Linked DNA regions of Arabidopsis thaliana. The protein of the gene in region 3 interacts with the protein of the main gene of each other region in a pairwise test. Each region holds a gene or a part of one and is shown on either strand. Other genes may lie near its edges. The genes, in order: NHL1, AT1G11940, AT1G15150 and AT3G13175.

Evidence for each region.
Region 1: the proteins of AT1G15150 (region 3) and NHL1 interact in a protein complementation assay, tested with the Arabidopsis thaliana proteins (one large-scale study listed by BioGRID).
Region 2: the proteins of AT1G15150 (region 3) and AT1G11940 interact in a protein complementation assay, tested with the Arabidopsis thaliana proteins (one large-scale study listed by BioGRID).
Region 4: the proteins of AT1G15150 (region 3) and AT3G13175 interact in a protein complementation assay, tested with the Arabidopsis thaliana proteins (one large-scale study listed by BioGRID).

Annotation. Positions count from the first base shown.
Region 1 is NC_003074.8:3,677,426-3,683,078, reverse strand, and holds NHL1 (NDR1/HIN1-like 1), read left to right. Parts: upstream 1-3,135; 5' UTR 3,136-3,418; coding exon 3,419-4,048; 3' UTR 4,049-4,484; downstream 4,485-5,653. Other genes in the region: DGD1 (UDP-Glycosyltransferase superfamily protein), read left to right, coding at 97-578, 679-945, 1,047-1,396, 1,479-1,989. UniProt on the Arabidopsis thaliana protein: May play a role in plant immunity.
Region 2 is NC_003070.9:4,029,930-4,036,943, forward strand, and holds AT1G11940 (Core-2/I-branching beta-1,6-N-acetylglucosaminyltransferase family protein), read right to left. Parts: upstream 4,227-7,014; 5' UTR 4,018-4,226; coding exon 3,730-4,017; intron 3,648-3,729; coding exon 3,531-3,647; intron 3,456-3,530; coding exon 3,355-3,455; intron 3,231-3,354; coding exon 3,159-3,230; intron 3,029-3,158; coding exon 2,947-3,028; intron 2,800-2,946; coding exon 2,719-2,799; intron 2,619-2,718; coding exon 2,577-2,618; coding exon of another isoform or gene 2,541-2,576; exon of another isoform or gene 2,386-2,540; coding exon 2,329-2,385; intron 2,238-2,328; coding exon 2,091-2,237; intron 2,004-2,090; coding exon 1,839-2,003; 3' UTR 1,605-1,838; downstream 1-1,604. Other genes in the region: AT1G11930 (Putative pyridoxal phosphate-dependent enzyme, YBL036C type), read left to right, coding at 1-22, 112-210, 292-369; AT1G11950 (Transcription factor jumonji (jmjC) domain-containing protein), read right to left, coding at 4,818-4,892, 4,997-5,116, 5,197-5,282, 5,365-5,437, 5,513-5,794, 5,875-6,204, 6,283-6,979.
Region 3 is NC_003070.9:5,210,126-5,217,323, reverse strand, and holds AT1G15150 (MATE efflux family protein), read right to left. Parts: upstream 4,850-7,198; 5' UTR 4,651-4,849; coding exon 4,393-4,650; exon of another isoform or gene 4,278-4,392; coding exon 3,733-4,277; intron 3,650-3,732; coding exon 3,563-3,649; intron 3,484-3,562; coding exon 3,427-3,483; intron 3,336-3,426; coding exon 3,097-3,335; intron 2,968-3,096; coding exon 2,762-2,967; intron 2,673-2,761; coding exon 2,601-2,672; 3' UTR 2,282-2,600; downstream 1-2,281. Other genes in the region: AT1G15160 (MATE efflux family protein), read right to left, coding at 1-154, 288-526, 630-686, 766-852, 932-1,476, 1,592-1,849; AT1G15140 (FAD/NAD(P)-binding oxidoreductase), read left to right, coding at 5,187-5,734, 6,253-6,352, 6,515-6,610, 6,695-6,775, 6,859-6,921.
Region 4 is NC_003074.8:4,233,223-4,238,277, reverse strand, and holds AT3G13175 (uncharacterized protein), read left to right. Parts: upstream 1-2,463; 5' UTR 2,464-2,697; coding exon 2,698-3,018; 3' UTR 3,019-3,203; downstream 3,204-5,055. Other genes in the region: AT3G13180 (NOL1/NOP2/sun family protein / antitermination NusB domain-containing protein), read left to right, coding at 96-187, 274-334, 463-522, 626-686, 838-945, 1,077-1,195, 1,278-1,349, 1,457-1,542 and 2 more; ATSPO11-1 (Spo11/DNA topoisomerase VI, subunit A protein), read left to right, coding at 4,086-4,140, 4,270-4,369, 4,542-4,615, 4,697-4,798, 4,945-5,018.

The DNA.
Region 1 (5,653 bases), on a different chromosome or scaffold from region 3:
GTTATTGGTTTTAAACACCCTTTCTTGTACATTATCTTATAGTTTCAGTGTTTACATACAAAGTTCCTGATTCTGTTCTGCTGAATTTTCTTTCAGATACATGTGACCGAATAGTAGAAAGCCTTTGCAAATGCAAGAGCCAACAACTTTGGCGTCTGCCATCTGCACAAGCATCCGATTTAATTGAAAATGATAACCATGGAGTTGATTTGGATATGAGGATAGCCAGTGTTCTTCAAAGCACAGGACACCATTATGATGGTGGGTTTTGGACTGATTTTGTGAAGCCTGAGACACCGGAAAACAAAAGGCATGTGGCAATTGTTACAACAGCTAGTCTTCCTTGGATGACCGGAACAGCTGTAAATCCGCTATTCAGAGCGGCGTATTTGGCAAAAGCTGCAAAACAGAGTGTTACTCTCGTGGTTCCTTGGCTCTGCGAATCTGATCAAGAACTAGTGTATCCAAACAATCTCACCTTCAGCTCACCTGAAGAACAAGAGAGTTATATACGTAAATGGTTGGAGGAAAGGATTGGTTTCAAGGCTGATTTTAAAATCTCCTTTTACCCAGGAAAGGTATGTTGATCATTTTGGATTCTATTTTTTTATTTCTATGGCTGCCAATATGTTTTTCAATTATTTCTATAGAGTAACTGAGCTTTCTGGTTTCTTATAGTTTTCAAAAGAAAGGCGCAGCATATTTCCTGCTGGTGACACTTCTCAATTTATATCGTCAAAAGATGCTGACATTGCTATACTTGAAGAACCTGAACATCTCAACTGGTATTATCACGGCAAGCGTTGGACTGATAAATTCAACCATGTTGTTGGAATTGTCCACACAAACTACTTAGAGTACATCAAGAGGGAGAAGAATGGAGCTCTTCAAGCATTTTTTGTGAACCATGTAAACAATTGGGTCACACGAGCGTATTGTGACAAGGTGAATCATCTACTCTATTTCTTCAAGCCTTGTTCTGTTGCTTGAATCCTCTTTACTAATAAATAGTACACGAGCTAATACATATTTTCTACTCATGAAAGGTTCTTCGCCTCTCTGCGGCAACACAAGATTTACCAAAGTCTGTTGTATGCAATGTCCATGGTGTCAATCCCAAGTTCCTTATGATTGGGGAGAAAATTGCTGAAGAGAGATCCCGTGGTGAACAAGCTTTCTCAAAAGGTGCATACTTCTTAGGAAAAATGGTGTGGGCTAAAGGATACAGAGAACTAATAGATCTGATGGCTAAACACAAAAGCGAACTTGGGAGCTTCAATCTAGATGTATATGGGAACGGTGAAGATGCAGTCGAGGTCCAACGTGCAGCAAAGAAACATGACTTGAATCTCAATTTCCTCAAAGGAAGGGACCACGCTGACGATGCTCTTCACAAGTAAGTTCTGAAAAATGTGCTTTGCTTTTAAAAACTTGTTAAGGTTTCGCTCTTTGATTGTCTTTCCCACATCTTGATGAAGGTACAAAGTGTTCATAAACCCCAGCATCAGCGATGTTCTATGCACAGCAACCGCAGAAGCACTAGCCATGGGGAAGTTTGTGGTGTGTGCAGATCACCCTTCAAACGAATTCTTTAGATCATTCCCGAACTGCTTAACTTACAAAACATCCGAAGACTTTGTGTCCAAAGTGCAAGAAGCAATGACGAAAGAGCCACTACCTCTCACTCCTGAACAAATGTACAATCTCTCTTGGGAAGCAGCAACACAGAGGTTCATGGAGTATTCAGATCTCGATAAGATCTTAAACAATGGAGAGGGAGGAAGGAAGATGCGAAAATCAAGATCGGTTCCGAGCTTTAACGAGGTGGTCGATGGAGGATTGGCATTCTCACACTATGTTCTAACAGGGAACGATTTCTTGAGACTATGCACTGGAGCAACACCAAGAACAAAAGACTATGATAATCAACATTGCAAGGATCTGAATCTCGTACCACCTCACGTTCACAAGCCAATCTTCGGCTGGTAGATATTTCCCCATAGGCCACCCAGTTATTGCTTGTGACTTATTAAACCACTACGTTATTGTTATCCTTTTTTACTTTTACAGTTGTTGTAGGTCGTTTGTTTGTTAATAGAAAGGGTAGATTATTATTAGATGTCTTTTTGTAAAATATCAATACGAAGCGTATTTGATGATATATAAAATAACTATATTGGCAAAAATATGAACTATGAAGGCCGTTTTCGTGATTTTGTTCTTTTGTTTCACGAATTCAAGCTATTCCCCTTTTTTTACGCCAAAGATGAAAAGAACCCTCCCTATTAATATCGCTATTGTCTAAAATTTCGAAAACTACTTTAATCACGACTAGACCAAATATATGTCGACCGATACCGATAGAGAAATTAGTGCCCCGTCTAATACTTTCTCTCCAAAATTACAGAATATTTAGAGTAGTTAATCAACGTAACACGACAAGGAAAATGATGGAAAAAGTGGTGGTTTCTGCTTTGGCAACTAGTGTTAGGTCACTTACGTCCTCTTTTTCTGTATTGGAAATTACGTGGATAAATTGAACTTTCTTTCAATCTCTATCAAATTATTAATCCACACATGTATACGCAATATATGATCATTAAATAAATAAAAAGTTAGATTGGTCTATAAATTCGTATCACAAATGGACTAATAATTTGTAGTGAAAACTCATTTACCCATGTGACAGCTCCAAATTTCTGAACTTTTTATTTTGAGGGATGGTACAAATCCGAGTTCCATGATCATGGAAAAATCAAATTTAACAAACACAAATTACTGTTTGAAACAAGCAAGTTACTATATATGTAGTTTGATTTCACACTAGAGAATCTACTGATAATGAATTTTTTATATATCGTGAAGCTGAAAGTGAAATTATAACTAGCTAGTTGAATTGCTTATTATGGTTGGAGGGGAGCCGATGAAAAATTCTTCGACCACACATAAAGTCACCTTTCTAAAGAACACTTGCACCGACCACATCAATCACGCATTCATAAATTTTCAACATTTATATAAATGTAGGAAAAAAACAAAATGAATTATAGAGAATACAAAATGACAGTTAACAATAAATATATCACAACATAAATTTTATGTAAGAAGGTTAGCATGATTTTTAAAAATATATTGTTGTGATTAAATGGAAAATAAAAATGTAGAATACTTGTTTCTTTAAAAGGGTCTTTGTTTTGATTACAATTTTTTTTTTTAAAGAATACCTTTAATATTAGGGAGAATTATTATAGTTTATAATATGAGAATACCTTTATTTCCCTATCACACTCCTATAAATCCTACATATAATTAGCCCATTATTTAGAGCCATCACTAAAACAAAAAATCTCTTAACAACTTCTCCACCTTCTCCCCACCACCACCACTCACCGTCGGAGAAAGAAAAAAAACAACCACCATGAAAGACTGTGAAAACCACGGCCACTCTCGCCGGAAACTAATAAGGCGAATATTTTGGTCAATAATCTTCGTCCTCTTCATCATCTTCCTAACAATCCTCCTCATTTGGGCAATTCTCCAACCATCAAAGCCACGCTTCATCCTCCAAGACGCCACCGTCTACGCCTTCAACGTCTCCGGCAATCCACCGAACCTCCTCACCTCCAACTTCCAAATCACTCTCTCTTCCCGGAACCCTAACAACAAAATCGGCATTTACTACGACCGGCTTGACGTCTACGCTACTTACCGGAGCCAACAAATCACTTTCCCAACATCAATCCCTCCCACGTATCAGGGACACAAAGATGTCGACATCTGGTCGCCGTTTGTTTACGGAACCTCCGTTCCCATCGCTCCTTTTAACGGCGTTAGTCTTGACACCGATAAAGATAACGGTGTCGTTTTGTTGATCATTCGTGCTGATGGTAGAGTGAGGTGGAAGGTTGGGACTTTTATCACCGGGAAGTATCATCTTCATGTGAAGTGTCCAGCATATATAAACTTCGGTAACAAAGCTAACGGAGTTATCGTCGGAGACAACGCCGTTAAGTATACGTTTACCACTAGTTGTAGTGTTAGTGTGTGAAACGGCGACGAAGAAAAATAAGGTAACTAAACGTCTTCGTTAAGTAATCTGTCTTAGTGATGTGAATTGTACATTTTGCTTATACGAATAGCAAATATTACAGATTCGTGATGTTGTAACGAATTTTAAGAATTTCAATATGTATACTTTTTTTTTATTATAGTTGAATTCTAAATTCTATTATAAGTTGTGATGATTTTTTCGAAGTATTTTTTTTGCTGATTTTGATGCATCTTCTGATCCTGTCAAATCGACTTTTGATGACTTTTTCTTATGTATATGGTAAAGTTTGATGGCGATGGAGATTAATTTTTAGTTGAATAGATTAGGCTCGTTAATGTTTTGTGGACGTTGTGTGATGGTGTCATTGTCCATTTGTCTCCATCTTTTTATTAAATTAAATAGAGAGATGCATTTTATATAGAGACTATTCTACAACAAATAAGACATTTCAAAAAGATAAATTTTGTGGATTGGATTATTTTTAGTCACATCTATGGATTTATAGATAAGTTCTATTTGTTGGTGTCTGGCTTAAAAAAATGTTTTTCGTGCACTTTAAAAGCCCATTCTCCTAGAGTTTTGCTACATTGAAATAAAGTTAATACATAACGTTACTTACAAGAATTTAGAATCCGTGGATATTATCGTGGATATTATCGTGGATATTCTTGGATTACCGTGAATATTCTTGGATCTTGAATTGTGAAAATCAGAATCCGGTCTAGAGACTTATTTCTCGTTTATCTGCATTTCCATTCATTTAACTTATAATGTGGTCCATGAAATTGACCAAAGAAATTAAAGGGGAATATGGTCCTTTAAAACTTATTATCTAAGTTGGGAATGAAAATAATATAAGAAACGTTAGACGAAAAAAGTCAGTCACCAATAAGACTTTGGATATCAGTCACATGATATATAGTAGTATATAAGCAACGTTCCATACTTCTATCTCAAATAAAGTTGAGAAACCTAACTTTGGATTTCCTTTGATTTTCAATAAAAATAAAGTGGTTATGAACGTGCTGTGTGTGCTGTTCACACAAAGGCACTAGAACGTCCGAGTAATGCTCAGCCAAACTCACATAATTTTCTGAAAAATGGCCTTTGCTACCTAACTTAAAAATAATTTACAACAACGGAAACTTTAGATAGTTGATCATTGATCAATAGTGCGTGCATCAGTGCATGCATATTTGGAATGAATCAATATTGATTACATATGCAGTGGATCTATCTCAAAATAATACTGATCAACTATTTGTAATATAATTCTTCATTCAAACAAATTAAGTGTTTTAAAAATGTTAATAATTATGATCTCTATCTTAGACATTTTGAGTTTATGTGTTCATGACTATATTTAGTGTAGTTCCATGAAACTAGGGTTTTAGTAGCGTCTTTATGTTCGTCTACTAACGGGCTACACTATTTTATGTTGGGCCGAATTTGGGATAAGCCTTCTACAATTTGGGATATCACTCATCACATTTTACATATTCCTACTTTCTTCCTTAGCATTGAGAAACAAACTTGAAAATAACGCCTACTTAAACCTAGTTTTATGGAGCTGCACACTAAATAAATTGTTTCTTTTTAGTA
Region 2 (7,014 bases), 1.2 Mb from region 3:
TTCAACCCCAGAGAATTTCAAGGTTTATATAATCTGGTTTGAACCTATAATGTTTGGTAATATCGTGAGATGCTTAAAAGAGCTCACTTTCGTTTCTTATTGTAAGTGTAGTTGCTTGCGAAATGCAGAAGTGAAGTGTGTAAGGAGCTTGGAATACCGGAGGAGCAATGTGAGCTATCTATGGGGATGTCTGGTGACTTTGAACTAGCAGTAAGTTGTTGTGATTGTTGATTCGAGTGAAAAATTCTTTCTGTTCAAAATGTTAAAGAGTTTTCTTTACGGTTTGGTGAGTTGCAGATTGAACTGGGAAGCACAAATGTGAGAATAGGATCTACTATTTTCGGGGCGAGAGAGTATCCTAAGAAGTAATGATGTAAACTACTGAGTGATGAGATTGATTCTAAGTTTGAACATCAAAACCAGTTTCAGGGAAGAATAAGAGCTTAGGTTTTAATGTTGAAATCATGTAGATCTTCTCTCTTCTTTTGTTTTGCATTGTATTTGGTGATGTTGCTTGTAAGTTGTAACCAAGGTACATTATTACTATTTTTCTAATTTCATGGATATAAACACATGAAAGAAGAATAAAGAATCTTGTCTTTGCTACGTTACTAGTGAGAAGTAGTTAAAAGGGTGTCACAACCACTTGTTACTATTCTTTTGGTTTGAGAGCTCTGCTAACTAAGATTTTAATACTTCTTTTGTGTTATGAAACACTGAAAGCAAAATCCACTACATAGTACAGATGCTTCAAAGTTCAAACTTCAAACTGAGCTTCTCATCATTTCAATTTTTCAGACCCAAGGTGATCATTTTTATTGGACTCTGCATTTAACTATATGGTTACCATTAAGTTACCATATATATTATAAAAAAAAATTACCATACATCTCAAAATTAATCACAATCACTCATTTATATACAAAATTCCTTTTAAATAAGTATGAGCATTTTTGTTTTCTAAAAATATTTAGTGTGAGAGGATAATGGGTTTTAAGCCCAAATGAAAATAAAAGCCTAAAGAGAAAACAAGAAGATTGCAGGAGGAGGAGGAGGAGTTGAGTTTCTGATGAGAAGTTTTCGTTAATGGAAGTTTTCCTTTTTTTATGATTGCTAGGCTTAGCTCGAGTCGGTTGGGAATTTTTTTAATGGTTAAGATTTTTGAACTTAAAAGATTCAGAGAGATTTTTATAAAAATGACAATGCCAATACTATGGATTTGGAATAATTGCATTGTTGTAGCCCAATTAAAAAAATGTTTTTTTTAAGCTAATTTTAGTGAACAAATTTTTTCAAAAAATGTGGCCCAATTGAGCTCAACTACCGTCCAACGGCTCGTCGTTTGACTCATTTCTATGGAATCATCAGATTTGCAAAAGAAGCTTAGAATTCCGACGAACTAGGCCCAGTCCGCCCATAAAGCAACCAAAACATGTGCTTTACGCTACCAACTATAAAGAAAAATGTAAGGTCACTTGTTTAAAAAGTTTGTTTTGGTTAAGTGTTTATGTACTTCATTATTGTGTGTTCGAGTCCTTGAAAATTTTAGTTTTTTTTTAACAATTTCCAGGAGAATGAGTAAAAGACATCAATCCAGAGTAGAATTTGCTATTAACATATTCTATTAATCGAAGCCAGTTTCTTCAGACATATACACATAGAAATTTTAACACCCAAACACAAGATTATCCATGAAGAATGATTATTAGTTTTTACTAAGCGTCATATATAATCATAAACCATTAAACCTCATGAGGGATGTTTGTAATGTATCAATGCTATTCCTACTCTATGTATACGCTCTGTTGCTTGACCTACTTGCTTACACTGTTGCAAAGTTATAAGGTTTTGTTTGCTGATGATCCTATTAGTCCTTCACTCACAATGCGCATAGCAGCTTCATTCGTGAACTTCCTTGCAAAGAGAAAGCATGGGACGGGTTTCGAATCCGCCTTACACCATTCCGTTCGAGATTCAGACTCGTAATAGACATGGTCTATTTTCTGTCCCGAGAAAAGCAAAAGAACTAGAGAGATTACTTAGGGATTCATTCGGTTGTGATATTAATCCTCTGAACAAAAAGATTGTACCTTTATTTCTTTTATTTCCTCAGGGCCGGAGTTTTCCAATGTGAAAGTGACGGGATGCCAAGATTTGGCTTCATATTTTGTACCTGAAACGTTCCATACAGTGTATGTCACTGTTCTTCGTTCCATTTCACTCTCTAGTCCTTGCATCTGAAATGGTCAGTTTGTAATACATTAACAATATGGAACTTTTTAGATGGAAACAAAAATGAGAGAGATGTGTATCAGATATGATGGTCACCGTAAGCAATGTTTGCACATAGTGTTCATCGGGGATGCAGTTGCGTCGCTTCTGTTTCTGAGTTCACATCAAACGTAATAAAAGTTTCCCCATTTGTTTAATAAAGAAAGAGGTTAATCAATGGAGAGAAGTATTCATAGACTACAGAAAAGACACTGTTGAGATTGTTTTGAAACCAACACAAAGAATCAACATAAACATTCAGGCTGGTATTAAATGAAAAATACCAACTTTGAAATAGCACTTACAAGAAACAACCATGCCTCATTGGTACCTAAAGGTGGACATCTCTGCAAATCGAAAGAGAAATCAAGAAGTAAGTTATTGTTTCTTCAGCAACAAAGAATCAAGATTGAAATTAAAGTCATGATCATAAAGCTTAATCTTTACCTTGCAGAATTCCTTAAAAACTGGGAATACGATACCATCATTTACAATGACCTCTGCATGACTTCTGATCAAAGCTATCCACTGCAATAGATAAAACTAAGATGAGATTAAAAACTTCATGAACTTTAAAAGGTCCCTATCCTCCTAATGCTTAAATTTTCACAAGAAACTCAGGCTTCAAAAATCTTGGTAGCAATGTTCATTTCCTAAGCAAGAAAATGAAGATACCTGGGATCCTTTTCGCCATTTCTCTTCAGGTATGACAGGAGACATTTTCACACTGTACCGTGTCTCTTTAGTATGAAGAAAACTGCCAATAGAGAGCAACAAACATAGTTATCAACATCTAGACAACTCCTCTTATAATACACCAGTTATCAGGCCATATATATCAAGTATGAAGTACTAAGAAACCTCATAAATTCAGACTTTCAATCTACCTATCCACAAAACTCCTCGGTGAAGAGATAAGATATTTGTATATATAGCCAAAGTCATATAATGGAGCACATCTGCAAAACAGAAAGTAGATGAAAATGAAATAAGTCCGTACAAACCACAAATGTGCTCAAAGTCAGATGCAATAAGTGGTCAGGCATAAGATGATCTGAAAGAGTAATGCTGAAAGAAGCAAACCTGTCAGAGAGAAGAACAAATCTTTGATTGGAGTGATCCTCTAAAGCAGATGCAAGCAACAATCTTTCTGCTTCAATCATGCTTGATTCTCCCCATACTACCTATAACCATAACAACACCACCCTAAGTTTCACTATAAAAAAACATCAAATGGAGAAATTCTCATGAACACTCACCTTAATGCTATTGTTCAATTGGCGATTATAGAAATACTGTGATCGTGTAGTTTCTTCATTGAACACGAAACCAGGTACTGAATGTATATAAATTGAGAAATTCGCATGATCCACTCCCTGCAAAATCACCAGAATCAGCAATTTTTTCGAAATTTAGAATAACGGACAAGTATTAATAGGACTAAGAATCTTTTTTGACCTTGAAGAATCTATCCCACATAAAATCAAGTGGGAGATCACGGCGAGCTAAGAAAAGGAAAGCGAGCTTGGGACGATCACCGGAGTATTTGTGAAGCGGTGTCTGAGATCTCGCGACGGAGAGTGGAAACGACAATGTCGTGAAGGAATTGTACTGTAGTTGGATTCGAAGAAGAGCAAGAAGGCAAAGCGCGACGGAGAAAGCGATTACGAGTTTCCATCCCAGCCACACGACGCCGCCGCGACGGGACAATGGAGGCGGAATCTGCGGCTGTGATTTCTTCGTCATTGTACTACGATCACTCACCGTCGTACGATCAACATTCGAGTTAGAGAAACGAACAATCACAAGTCTTTTTAGGGTTTTTGAAGTCAATAAATTTCTCAGGAGAGAAACGGAAACTGAAGAATTGCAAATTACAACATTTTGGATTTTGAGAGAAAGAGAGAAAGAAAGGTAGAATGATGTTGATAGTTCGACGTATAAACTTGTAAACGACGTCGTAAGCCACGTACACGTTTTAAGTTAGTTGGGACCCACGTTAAATTAGAACATCATTAAATTGTTGTCCGAAATTGAAATTGTCAGAAAATGGTATGAAAATTATACAATTTGACTAGGAATATTAATTATTGTATTTCCTTCTATACAATTAGAAAAAAAAAAAAAATACCTTAAAACAAAACCTTTGGAAATTAATGTATTAAGTCATTTTAAAACCTTTGAAAACAAAACAATCCATATTTACTGCAGTAAAAATTTGCAAGCAACAACTGAACCAATTGTATTTGCTACTATGAATCTATGATGCTCTCATATCATAAACTTTCATTTGCTCTCAAAATGATGTAAAGATACAAAACTATACAAAAGAAGCTTACATCAAATATTCATTCATATGCCAAAACAGACCGGAAAAGGAAAAGTTACATCAAAATCCCATTTGAAAAAAAGGAAATCATTCTTTTCAAGAGACACTTGTCTCTTTTACATACATATATCACAGCAAAAGCCAACTACAATAGCCATGGCTTTAACAATTCTACAAAATCTGCTGTTAATCCTACAACAACAAAGCTATAGAGCTTTTAGCTGCGATCTAGCAATAATGTCTCCACTTCTTTCAGAGCTTGTTCAACTGCATAGATCACCATCTTTTTTATCTGTTCACATGGCAAAGATTAAAACAAGATTCAACTACAAACAAAACTGTATCCATTGACAGAAGTTGCTAATCCAAAATTGAAAATATCAGAAAAAGAATCACCTCAAGTTTGTCTTCTCTGGCTTTATGGTTCTTAGGGAGTTGTCGAAACTCATCAGTCAAACGGAGACACTCATCGATGTTTTCAGGGGAAACAAAATCAACAGCTACCTTTGTGCACGACTGTATCAAAATCCATAATACAAGTTAAAGATAATGAGAAAAAGTTTAGTTAATAGGACAGCTTCCATTCAAATAATAACCTTGAGATTCCGAACTTGATGAGGACAACCTGCTGGAATAAACACTGCTTCTCCTAGCTTTTGCACAAATGTCCATGGCTCAATCCCTTTAGTTCAAACAAACAAACACAAAAACGTAAGAATACAATGTCGGTAAGTGACAGTTACTACAGTTACAAGTAACCATACCAAATTCTGCCTTGAGTTTTCTTTTATGCTCCACGGTTAAGAAATATGACTGATCATGTATTGGATGATACACCTAACATAAAGAATCCTATCAGCACAATAACCTCTAAGACTCGGAACTGAAAACGTTTTGTGGATTATTTCTTACCTTTGTAACACGAGAGCAATAAGTATGTCTGAATTCTATGCAATGCTTCCTTAGATACTCTTCAAGCTTAGGAACATCTTCTCTTTTAAAGATGTCCCAAAGTGCACCACTTGTTTCATCATAAACCACAATCTCATCACTCACAACCTCTTCTTCCTCTAAACCATTTTGCTCCTGAAGCTCTTTCTCATTCTGTTGCTTATGTTTCTGTTTCAAATCTGCAATTGCAGACCTTTGCTCCTCACTTAGTGTTACTTCAGCAGTATGCATCAGAATATTAACCTACAAAAACAAAAAACCGTTATACACCTGAGAAACCGTATTATTATTTAACAGTACTAAGTAACAATTCTGAAACTTACAGCATCTGACATATCACAGTGAAGCTTAGTGACTGAATCTCCTCTACCGAGCTCATCTGAAGTCCCATATGCAACATAAGTTTTTGGACCAAGATCTGGTTTAAGAAGTCCTTCAGGAAGTTTTGTAGCAATGTTGAGAATTCCTGATCTAGGATCGCTGTATTCTTGAAATGGTAATGCGGAAATGAACTCATCGCAGTGACGAGGTAAAAGGTTTTCAAACTTGTCTGAAGGAGGCCAATCCTTCAGCTTCAGCATCTCAGGCCAGAAGTTTTCATATGTTCTTCCTTTGCTATATCCTTCAAAGAAACATAGAGTATTTATCTTCACCTGAAATAACAAGAAACAAAATGAGCTTTATAACCTCTTATACAGCTATAGAAACTTTATAAGAAAATGAGTTTCTACCTCACAATTAGCTAAACAATCGATAGCTTTGACATCAGACATATTAGAGCTAATTGCTGAATCAACATTCTCACATAAAGCCCGCCACATCACCATTGGCTCCCAGCTTAAACCAGCTGTGTTGTTAAGAGCATTTCGAACAATCACTGGTTCACCTTTGGACCAATGCTCTTGGAAATGCAGAAGTTCTTCTTGCTTCAGGACATCCAAAGAATCAGGAGAATAAAGGTAATTGTCACTAGATCCGTCCCTCGAAGCTGCCTTCCTCTTCATACTACTCATATCAGAAGAACATCTACAATATGACATTGGCGGTTTGATACTATAAGAGGCTAAGAATGTTTCTGCCTTTTGCTCCAAATCTGACATCCAAGTCACTGGTAAGATTCGCTTAAGCTCCAGCACAGAGTCCCCGCAACCTCCTAGCTCTTTTGGCGCACACCGTATGCTTCCATTTTCATCAGCATTCCACTTGATGGATGGAGTTTTAGTTTCATCCTCGGAAACAGAAGAAGAGCTCGGTTCTGCAGCTTCGCCATGTATATACCGGGTCCCTCTGTACTCGAATTGTAGCTGACATTCCGGGCGGTCAGAAAGCCAACCTCCACGGATCTCTTGGCAACAGTTCAGACACAATTCATATGAACACTTTGGACAGCTTCGATGCAAGTCAACAATTGATGTTGCACAGTGGTTACTAGAGCAACAAAGACATTTCAGTGATATATAAGA
Region 3 (7,198 bases):
AGAACGGCACCGGCTATTATTCCAATCCAAAGGCCAACACCTTTCAGATGAACCCAGAAGGCTAAAGATGCAGCAATGGGTATCCCCCAGAGATAGAAAGCTCCAAAGTTTATGTAAGCCCCTATATGCTGCCACCCGCATCCGCTTGCAACACCTGCAAACCAACAAATGAGGGTTAGGAATGGCAGAAAAGAGTTCACCTTTAGTTATCTTTGACTAAAAAGTGCATAACATAATATTCGACACTAGTATATGTTTGAGAAAAGAAATAGGAACAGTTCTCGAACCTGAGAGAACCCCTTGTAAACTGTCCAGTATGAGAGAAATAGAGACCAGTGGAGCCATCTTTGCAACATAGTCGATGGTATTCTTGTCACTGCTGAAAACTTGGCCCAACAGATTCTTACCAGCTAATAGAGACGTACCCACCATCAATGCATCCACTACTGCAAGAGACATTGCCGCGTAGACCACAATATGTGCTGCTCGAGAGTTTCCAGCACCTAATTCATTTGAGATTCTTGTGCTGCACAAGAAACATCCCCTTATGAACATGAAACCATATGATTCCTTGCCATGAACAGCAAGTATGCTTGACCATTTATGAACAGCATAATGGTGGCTCTAACCTTGCTGCAGCTGCAATCGCTAGTGGTATCGAATAAGTCATCGAAAGTGTTTGGAGACTATTCATAGTATAAATAACATTATGTTTTGGCAAATTCATGATTGTGACGAGAGTTAGTAAGATGCAAGGAGGAGTACCAGACAGAGAGCACAGAAGTCTCCAGTTGTGGGTTGGGTAAGAGACCAGATAGTAATATTATGAGTTCATAAGACCACCACTCTAGGCTGCAACACATAAAAGAGTTTCTAACAAAAAATGTAGAGGCAATGAGAAGTGAAAAAGGAACAGAGAAAAGTGATGTACCAAAGCATAGCCGCAGAAGGAAGAGCATATTTGATAAACTCTCTAACGCCCTCGAATATCTCCATGGTAAGCGGTGCACGTGTCTCAGAACAAGCAGAGGAGAAGTACATGAAAGATCCAAGAAAGATGGCATAGAGCCAGTATGACAAACTGAGAGCCAAGGCTCCTCCAATATGATCAAGCCCTGACTTATAAACCAAAAGCCAACAAAGAGGAACATGGAGACAGAACACAACACAAGAGGTGATAAGGAGAGGTGTTATCAAGCTCTGGTTTTTGAAGTAGCGAGTAAGCGGCTGTAGAACAGCGTAAGCAAACAGTCCTGGGATGAGCCAAGCAGCAAATCTTCCGGCTTCGTGTGCAATTGAAGGGTCTTGGCCAAGGATCACGAGAAGCTTTCCCATGTTGAACCATAGGAGAGAGAGAGGGAGACACACTAATGTAAGACAGAACATAGCTGTGTAAGCCTGAACACCTAGTTTCCGATATAGCTTAGCTCCATAGGCTTGACCGCTGAGAGTATCTAAGGCACATGACAATCCCATCTAGCATCAAAAAGTAACAGTAAAGTGATGAGAGGATACAATTTCCATGGTTCTGGTAGCTAGTAAGAGAGATAAGTGCGTCAATTTTAGTGGAAAAAAGGAAAAGGAAACAAACAATGAAGCTGAAGCCAGTGACGTTACAGAAGGAGATGGCGAAGGAAGCGCTAGCGAGAGAGAGTCTGCCGAGGTGACCCACAATCACCATTGTTATGATCTGTAACATGGACTGAGTGATAACCACGGCAGCCATAGGAGCCGCAAAGCATATAAGCTTCTTGAGTTCTGCGGTGAAAGATCCGTCTTGCAGATCTCTCCATGTTACTTTCTCAACTCTGTCTACAGGATCTTTGGTGGTGCTCTCTGCGTCTTCCATGGCTAGAGAGACACTAAAGAGAGAGAGTTGAAATTTGAAACTGAAAGTGGTGTGAGTGAAGAACTACTGTCTGCTTTTTGTGCTTTAGTACGTGTTGTTCTTTAAGACTATGTACATTGCCACATTGGTGTTTTTATACAAAACCATATTTTTCATTTTTGTAACACATAATCGTCACTTTATTCCACCTATTAATTCAACATTTTAATATGCTCTCTGCGTTTTATTTTTGTGGCGTGATTACTGATGCTGACTCTTGGCTCTCTGCGTTTTCTTTTTTTAATATGCATTTTGCAAACTATATTGTCATCATCGTAAGAAAGTTTGAATACATAAAGCAACGTTGTTGGTGGTTATATTTTTCTAGTGATAGTAATATATGTGTGATCCTGTCATTATTACTTGTGGAGACACTTGTGAAGGTCTGTGTCGAGAAACATTTTCAGTGATTGAAAACTCTAGCTCCAAGACTCAGAAGCAGCTCCCACATCTATTTCCTGACTCGCAACTACTGTGTTACAGGTATAAGCGAGCTGGTATCAGCAGAATTGGATCACTACATCATTTTCTGTCCAAGGTATTTCTGAACTACCAGAATAATGCTTCATCGAAATAACGATTGCTGAGGGCTGCTAATATTACAAAAGAAAAGACCAATTATTCACGGCAACCACTAGTCCAGCAGTAACATATAACGATTTGGCTGCTACAAAAATGGTAAAATAGGAGGAACATCTGTGTCCCTGTAATCTTAGATGGGAAGTTCTGACTCTGTAAGTTCTGATTCATGGGCCACAGCCATTCGCTCCCTCGCTTCACGGGCCTAGAGTTCAAAATGCATCCAATTGAACATCGATATGTTTATTCCAAAATAGAAACATGTCATGAAAGACAAAAAGCAAAGGAAAGGACCTGGGTTTTCCAGTTTGTGCAGCCTGTGACAAGAGCCAGCAGAAGAGTCTGCAGAACTGCACCGGCTAGTATTCCAATCCAAAGGCCAACACCTTTCAGATGAACCCAGAAGGCTAAAGATGCTGCAATGGGTATCCCCCAGAGATAGAAAGCTCCGAAGTTTATGTAAGCCCCTATATGCTGCCACCCGCATCCGCTTGCAACACCTTCCAACCATCAAACGAGGGTTAGAAGAATGGCAGAAAAGAGTACAACATGAACAGGCATGACAACTTGGAGCTGTATATTCGACACTAGCTTATGTTTGAGAAACGAAATGGGAAAAAATCTCGAACCTGAGAGAACCCCTTGTAAACTGTCCAGTATGATAGAAATAGAGACCAACGGAGCCATCTTTGCAACATATTCGATGGTTTTCTTGTCACTGCTGAAAACATGGCCGAAAACATGCCTGCCGGCTAATAGAGACATACTCACCATCAATGCATCCATTACTGCAAGAGACATTGCCGCATAGACCACAATATGTGCTGCTCGAGAGTTTCCAGCTCCTAACTCATTTGAGATTCTTGTGCTGCACAATGTACTTGCTTATGAACATGAAACCATAACAGAAAGTATACTTCAGCATTTATGTACTGGATAGTGGTGACAAAAGCTCTAACCTTGCTGCAGCCGCGATCGCTAGTGGTATTGAATAAGTTATTGAAAGTGTTTCGAAACTGTCCGTAGTATGAATAACATTATGATTTTGCAAATTCAAGATTGTGACAGGAAATGGAAAGATGCAAGGATGAGTACCAGATAGAGAGCACAGAAGTCTCCAGCTGTGGGTTGGGTAACAGACCAGAAAGTAATATTATGAGTTCATATGACCACCACTCCAGGCTGCAACCCATATATAAAAGAGTTTCTAACAAAAAATGTGGAGGCAATGAGAAGTGAAAAAGGAACAGAGAAAAGTGATGTACCAAAGCATAGCCGCAGAAGGAAGAGCATATTTGATAAACTCTCTAACGCCCTCGAATATCTCCATGGTAAGCGGCGCGCGTGTCTCAGAACAGGCAGAGGAGTAGTACATGAAAGATCCAAGGAAAATGGCATAGAGCCAGTATGACAAGCTGAGAGCCAAGGCTCCTCCAATATGACCAAGCCCTGACTTATAAACCAAAAGCCAGCAGAGAGGAACGTGGATACAAAACACAACAGAAGAGGTGACGAGGAGAGGTGTGATCAAGCTCTGGTTTTTGAAGTAGCGAATGAGCGGCTGAAGAACGGCGTAAGCGAACAGTCCTGGGATGAGCCAAGCGGCATATCTACCAGCTTCGTGAGCAATAGCAGGGTCTTGGCCAAGGATCACAATAAGCTTTCCCATGTTGAACCATAGGAGAGAGAGAGGGAGACACACTAAAGTAAGACAGAACATAGCTGTGTAAGCCTGAACACCTAGTTTCCGATATAGCTTAGCTCCATAAGCTTGACCACTCAAAGTATCTAAGGCACATGACAATCCTATCTATCATCAAAAAGTAACAAGAAAGTGAGGAGAGGATGCAATTTCCATGGTTCTGGTAGCTAGTAACAGAGATAAGTGCGTCAATTTAGAGGAAAGAAGGAAAAGGAAAACAAACAATGAAGCTGAAGCCAGTGACGTTACAGAAGGAGACTGCGAAGGAAGCGCTAGCGAGGGAGAGTCTACCGAGGTGACCCACCATCACCATTGAGATTATCTGTATCATGAACTGAATGATAACCACGGCAGCCATAGGAGCCGCAAAGCAGATAAGCCTCTTGAGTTCTGCGGTGAAAGATCCGTCTTGCAGATCTCTCCATGTCACTTTCTCAATTCTGTCTACCGGATCATTGGTGGTTCTCTCCGCGTCTTGCATGGCTTGTGAGAGAGAGTTTGAAAGTTGAAACGGAAAGTGGTGAGTGATAATCGTGAAGTACTACTGTCTGCTTTTTGGTGCTTGGTTATGTGTAATTCCTTACCAAGGGAATCTATAGTGTAGTGCCACTTGGCAAAATTCCAAAACCATGAATGAAATATATACGTTAAATTTGGCTCAACGGTAGGGAGTGTTCATTGATAATGTACTCTTACGTTTTTTAATATGCATATTGCTTGTCACTTTTCTTCCACAATTCTGTCTTTTAATTACATGATTTGGTGTTTTTTCTTTGAAAGACGAGCTAGCAAAATTAAATGAAGAGGGAATGCAATTTTCGAAGTATCACAACAAGTGGTCGGAAAGTAGATAGAATGATATTTTGATCATCCACGTGGCAAAACATTGTAACGGAAGGAAATTAGGTGCATAGCAAAAAAAAATAACACAATCGTGCCACCGAACCAATCGGGCCGCCCTTTTCTACCGCCGGCTAAATTTGACGGTCACATATAGAGCCCCAAAAACTCTCCACCATGTCCACTCTTCCTTTCGCGCCTTCTGTCACCCATGCGCACTTTAGCCACTCCCTCTCCCCCATGTTTATCCTGCGCCATCTCCCTCTTACACGCCATCTCCGTTTATCCCGAAATAACCGCGTCGCTTCCGTTGTATCCGCCGCCGCCGTTCGCCAGGACGCTTCCCTCTGGACTCCAGCTCCTCTCTCTCTAATCGAATCAGCTGCAGAATCGCTTTTCCACATCTCAATCGACATTTCAAACGCTCCGGATCTCGTAGCTTCGTACACGAGACCCGGTCAGTATCTCCAGATCCGTGTTCCTGATGTTGAGAAGCCTTCTTTTATGGCAATCGCTTCTCCTCCTTCCTTGGCGTCTTCTCGTGGTGCTTTCGAATTCTTGGTCAAGAGCATCGCTGGTTCTACCGCGGAGATTCTCTGCGGGTTGAAGAAAGGAGAGACCGTTGAGCTTAGCTCTGTGATGGGTAATGGTTTCAATATCGATCTGATTGATCCTCCTGAGGAATATCCCACCGTTTTGATTTTCGCCACTGGATCTGGAATTAGGTGAGAGCTTTTTCCATTTTCTCTCCTACCTTGTTGGATTGCTGAAGTTGTCTTTTTTACTTCATGTATTCAATGATCCAAGTGTGGTCTAGTTTAAAGGTTTCAGTGCAGAGCATTAGCTAGATACAAAGCTTTCAAACTCAAGTATCTTGAATCTAGTTTAGTTACTCATTTTGCGGTGAATCCTCTGTGATGCCGGGTTCAATTGCTTTTTTGTGGACCTTTTTTGTGAACTCCAGTATGATTTCAATCTATCCAAAGGTGCCATGGACCAATTTTGTGGCTATTTTTTTACTGTGATGATGTTGTAATACTGAAATAGAGTTTCATGTATGAAAGGTCAATGTTTTTATGACTTTGGTGATCGATCAGATCTGTTGTTTATGCCAAGTAAAGGTGTTTCTTTCAATCATCTATTGTTCTAGGCCTGGTCAATCAAAAATGTTTAGTGATGGTGATGTGAATTAAGTAACTGTCTTCAATTTGGAATGTAATCTCACATGTTCTTATCTCTGCAGCCCCATCCGCTCACTAATCGAATCAGGATTTGGCGCTGATAGAAGATCTGACGTAAGACTCTATTACGGGGCTAGGAACCTGAATAGGATGGCTTACCAGGTTTGGTTCTTTCTCTCAGTTGTTTTGCAATTCATGATGTCAGTAGATATAAATGTGTGTGCTTGAATTATAAAAATCTTTTGATGATAAGCGTAAAGCCTATCTCTCGCTCTCATTTTGATCTACAGAAGAATCATCTTGGAAACGCTCTTGATTTTGTAGGAAAAGTTTAAAGAGTGGGAATCAGCGGGTGTCAAAGTTGTGCCGGTATTATCACAGCCAGATGATGGGTGGAAAGGGGAAACTGGATATGTGCAGGTGAGATTGAGAAACGTGCTCCTTAGTCAAGTCTGCTGTAACTCAATGTGGATCAAACTAATATATACATAATGTGTTGTATAGGCTGCTTTTGCAAGGGCTAAACAGCTATCAGCTCCCAAGGCCACGGGAGCGGTGCTGTGCGGACAGAAACAAATGGCTGAGGTATGCACTGTTTTTGTTTATGAGAACCTAAATGCTTTAGAAGATGTGTATCTTTATCATTGTTTCGATTTGTATTGTTGCAGGAGATAACTTCAATGCTTGTAGCTGATGGAGTCTCAAATGACAAGCTGCTCAAAAACTTTTGACAGATATAGTTCTTGTATTATCGTATAATTTTACTGTTTCTTCACATCATTATTCTTTTGATACGAAAGTCCTCTTCAAGGCCTCTCTAATTCATAAACACACAGAATTTTGTAGTCCCTTAAAAATTAATACTACTGTGTTGATTGTCACCACAACATTCTTTTTTGATTAGTGATCATGTTAATGTCCATGCTCTATATACTTTGCATATTTCTTCTACTTTCAATAGAAAATTTCTACATATACCAAGAAGATTTATACCAAAAAATATTGTGA
Region 4 (5,055 bases), on a different chromosome or scaffold from region 3:
TAGTGCTGAACAACTATGTATTGCTGAACAACTGCGATAAGGCTTCATTCCTGTTTGATGAAAGAAACTCTCATTTTGTTTCCTTTCCTTCCTAGTGGATGGTTAGACGATGGGTAAAGTATCTTGGGTTGGATGAAGCCACAAAGCTAATGATATGGAATAACAATGATCCTGGATTTAGCTTAAGGTTTATCTCCATAACATTTTGTATTCACAGAAGGAAAGATAAGTTATTAGCTGTCAGACAGATAATACTATTTCTAATAATATCAGGGCCAATACGGGAAGGGACATTACAAGAGCAGACCTTGTGGAGCGTCTAAACAGTTTAAAGGTTTTTTTCGTTTAATGTTTCTCGTTCTTTATTCAGTTGAAATCATCGTGTTTGTGTAAAACCAGGCACATGATTGTTTCTTATAATGCTTAGTTTCTTACTTCAATTATGGCTTTCCTATGCTGCAGGTTCCACACGAGCTATCCTTACATTTGGAGGAATTTGTCCGCATCAAAACAGGCTTGCAGGTGTTGTAATGTAACCGTGAATTGTCCTCTTGTTGGCAATTTTCTTATCCTAGTTTTTTTACTGATAAGTTTCATAATTGATCATGGGCCTTTTCTTTAACAGACCGTTGTGCAAGCTGGTTTACTCAAAGAAGGCATCTGTTCTGTTCAGGACGAGAGTGCAGGTCAGTTTGGTCTTGTAATTATTTGGACTGCTCCTGAGAAAAGATACAGTCTCCTCTTCATTAATTTTTCATGCTGTTAACAGATTTAAGTTTATCCAAAATCCTTTTGTTCTTTTGATATCTAAATATCTCCCCACATCTGGTACTGCAGGACTAATAGTCTCAGTGGTGAAACCTCAGCCAGGCGAGAGGATAATGGATGCATGTGCTGCTCCTGGAGGAAAGACCCTATTCATGGCATCTTGCTTGAAAGGCCAAGGTAATATTACAAAGACCCCTTATTTTCCTCTATTGTACATTAATGTTGAATTAAATTATCTATTTTGAGAAACTTTTCTACTATACTTGACTGATTCCATCCTCAAACTGGCAAACTCGAATCGATTATAGGTATGATATATGCTATGGATGTGAATGAAGGACGGCTAAGAATTCTTGGTGAGACAGCAAAATCACACCAAGTTGATGGACTTATCACAACCATTCATTCTGATCTTCGTGTCTTTGCTGTAAGTTAACATTATTTGAGTATCTGAAGTTTCCAAGTTTGTAAGCTACTCACATGCTTCCTTCCAACTTAATGTGTTTTAGGAAACCAATGAAGTACAATATGACAAAGTTTTGCTTGATGCCCCGTGTTCTGGACTCGGCGTCCTCTCCAAGGTTAACATGAGAAAAGTTTATCTAACTGTTTCGCCAGCAAGATTTAACATTGCTAGTTGAATTGACCTGATCTGATTAACCTGTTCCCATTAATCTGTATTTTGTAGAGAGCGGATTTGCGCTGGAACCGTAAACTTGAGGACATGTTAGAGCTCACTAAACTGCAGGATGAGCTTCTTGATTCTGCCTCCAAGTATGCACTCTGTACATACATTTTGATGAGTCATTTGATTAATTCTGAAACACTAATATGCGACTTATCTGATACTTTTATCTGTGACACTCTTGATTGAATCTCAAAGACTGGTGAAGCACGGTGGGGTGTTGGTATACAGTACTTGCTCCATAGACCCCGAGGAAAATGAAGGAAGGGTCGAAGCATTTCTCTTAAGACATCCTGTAAGAATCTTTATAATCCATTTGCTTTCCTTCAGATGTTGATATTAACAAATAGTCTCTCTGCTTTCACAGGAATTCACCATAGATCCAGTAACCAGTTTTGTACCGTCGAGTTTTGTAACCTCACAAGGCTTCTTTTTATCAAACCCAGTGAAACACTCACTAGATGGAGCATTTGCAGCTCGTCTGGTTCGAGCCTTGTGACGTTAAAAGCAAGCTGTATTTGTCTCTGCTGAGAGTTTGGATGCAATTAGACGAAGAGGATAAATGAAAACACCTTCTCTTTTATTCGTAGAGTTGGGTTTTATGAGAGAAGTGTAAACTTGTAGAGATGCTGCTAATTGTATGTTGATATGTTTAAAGAAAATGCCTCGCCGTTTTGCCAGAGCTAGAAAGTAGAAACGGCGGCTCGTGTAAGTTCTAACAAAAGAGTAGTCGTCTGTTAGCAACCCAAATCGGGCTTTTAAAGGCCCATATTTTGGTCGGCCTGAATCCAAAGTTAAAAATTCAATCATGCAAAACGGACAACATTATAACTGAATTGAAAATATCTCTCTTATCATTATTTTAGCTTTGTACGATTTACTATTTATGTCAGAAAATGTTTCATTCTTTGACTTTTACGACAACTTTACAAAAAAAAAAATGTTCATACAAGTCACAGAACAAAGTAACATAAAAATCTTAAAAATATATTATCATTTTCGTTAGAAGAAAAACAGTATAATTTTCAAACGCGTTTAAAAACAAAATAACTTGAGATTTTGACGTTATCCTTGTCACAGAGAATCTTTCCTATTTCTTTACGTATAGACACTCAGAGGAAAGACAGAGAGAGAGTTAGCATTGTACTATCTCTCTTTTAGATATATCTCTATCTCTCTTCACTCCATCTTTCTCGTGTTAACACAACAGTCACAGACTCACAGATCTTTGTCGGTGATCGGAGATGGAGTTCCGGGAGAAGCTTTTGAAGTTCAAGTTGCAAATCGTGTTTGCCTTTGTTTTATCTCTCCTCACCGTAGCTCTCGTCGCTTATTCTCCCGGTTTCCTCACCGTTCTATCTTACTTCTGGCCACTTTTTCTCTCCACGGCTCTCTTTCTCGCTGCCGTTTTCTTCTTCGCACGCACCTCCGATCTCCCGGTTTCGTCTACCATCATCCCAGGCGAAGGCGCAGGCTTAAAAGTGGCGGCGGAAGGGATTCTTGACTATGTCGTCGGCGGACAACACGAAGACATTCTCTTTGATAGCTTCACCAAACTTGACTAAGTATGAGACCTCTCTGTTCTTAATTCCTTAAGTATTTCCGTTAATTAGTTGTTCCTTTTTTAATACTAGAGAAAATAAAATTACAAAATGTAATATTTTCACGAGGAATAAAATCTTGCTTAAGTTTATGCTTCTATATTACTTATTTTAATCTTATGTTTCTGTTTAGGCGCGAGGCTTCTTTTCTTTAGGTATCTCTCATTAGTTTATACGTTACAAGATTACACATTGCATTGATATATGATTTTACTTTCAAAAAAAATTTAAATGTTGAACGACCTTAAAATCCGTGCGCTTTACTTTTAAATCTTTCCGAATGAAACCCAACCACCGACGCGACAGCTTTTCATTTGTTTACTAATTAAACGGAACAAAGCAATTTAAATGTTATCAGTGTTGTGTTTTAGTTAGAAATACTATAAATAATACAAGATGCCTCTTTTGTTTTAGAACTTTTTTGGTATCATGAATTCGTTATCGGATAAAATACGTTAAAGCTAAGTAGTATATTCTTAGATTATATATAAATTAGGTGAGCAATCTATCATAGAGAAGAAATGATTAAAATAAGTGTATGGCATAATAGATTCGAACATTTTGGTATGTTCCTCACGTGTCCGAGCATAAAGCTTATGAACAAATCTCGACCACTAGAAGTCTAGAACTAATTCTAATCTAGTTTACCATACACATTAATTATTTCAAATTTAGTGCACATGATTATTTTATATTGGCATCACTAAAATGTCTCCAAGTCTGAATAAATCGATTTATATTGGTTTGATTGTTATCATGAATCTTTTTCACAATCACTTTGCCTAGTTTCGGATCGGGCCTAAAAGCCAACGGCCCAACGTGTTTAAAAACACATGCGTTTTTAAAATGACACGTCAGTTACGTATCGGGCCTAAATGCCAATGGCCCAACGTCATGGAAAGTAGGAACTAAACGACACGCATGTTTAAATTCGAAGGTTTTAACGGCAAGCTTTTCGCACCCATCCCTTTTCTTCCCGTCTACAAAAATTCGTCGACCATTGCATTTTTCAGTTTTGAAACTCGAAAGAGATGGAGGGAAAATTCGCTATTTCAGAATCGACTAATTTGCTTCAAAGGATCAAAGGTATCAGAAAATCCCAAAATTTTCCGAATCGTATTGAGTAATTTGTCCTCTAATCTATGTCGAAATTTCTAGTCGATGACTTCGCTGGCTCTTCCGTTGTTCATCACTATGTTTCGGTTTTTTGAGCAGATTTTACTCAATCGGTCGTTGTAGATCTGGCTGAAGGAAGATCTCCAAAAATTTCCATCAATCAATTCAGGAACTATTGCATGAATCCAGAAGCTGATTGGTTTGTCTCTCTTCGATCTCGATTATTCAATTTTGTTTTCACTTTCTTTGATTGAAGAATCAGACGTGTTTGGTCTTTGGTTCGAGACATTTTTGAAGGATTTAAGCACAACGTCAACGAGTATTGAAAACTAAGACCTCATGAATTTACCATTTTATTCTGCTGTCTATAGCTTATGCAGCTCTGATAAACCAAAGGGTCAGGAAATTTTCACTCTTAAGAAGGAACCACAAACCTACAGAATCGGTGAGTCAGGTTTCAGATAATTCTACAAGTACATTAGTGTTATCTTAATATAGCATCACATTGCGGTGTTTTTACTTTCAGATATGTTGCTAAGAGTATTGTTGATAGTCCAACAACTTCTGCAAGAAAATAGACATGCTTCGAAAAGAGATATCTACTACATGCATCCATCAGCTTTCAAAGGTGAATTTGGAAGCAACGTATAATGTTTTAGTTATGTTTTTCTTCTAAACGAATACGTATTGAGATTTTTATACGGATATTAGTTATGCATCCCTCTTTGTTGTGTTCTTGGCCTTCTAGTAACACTGTTTTCGTCTACTTCACAGCACAATCCATTGTGGACCGTGCAATTGGTGATATATGCATTCTTTTTCAGTGTAGTCGGTACAACTTGAATGTGGTTAGTACTTTAATACTTTCACCTTCAATTTTCCTTC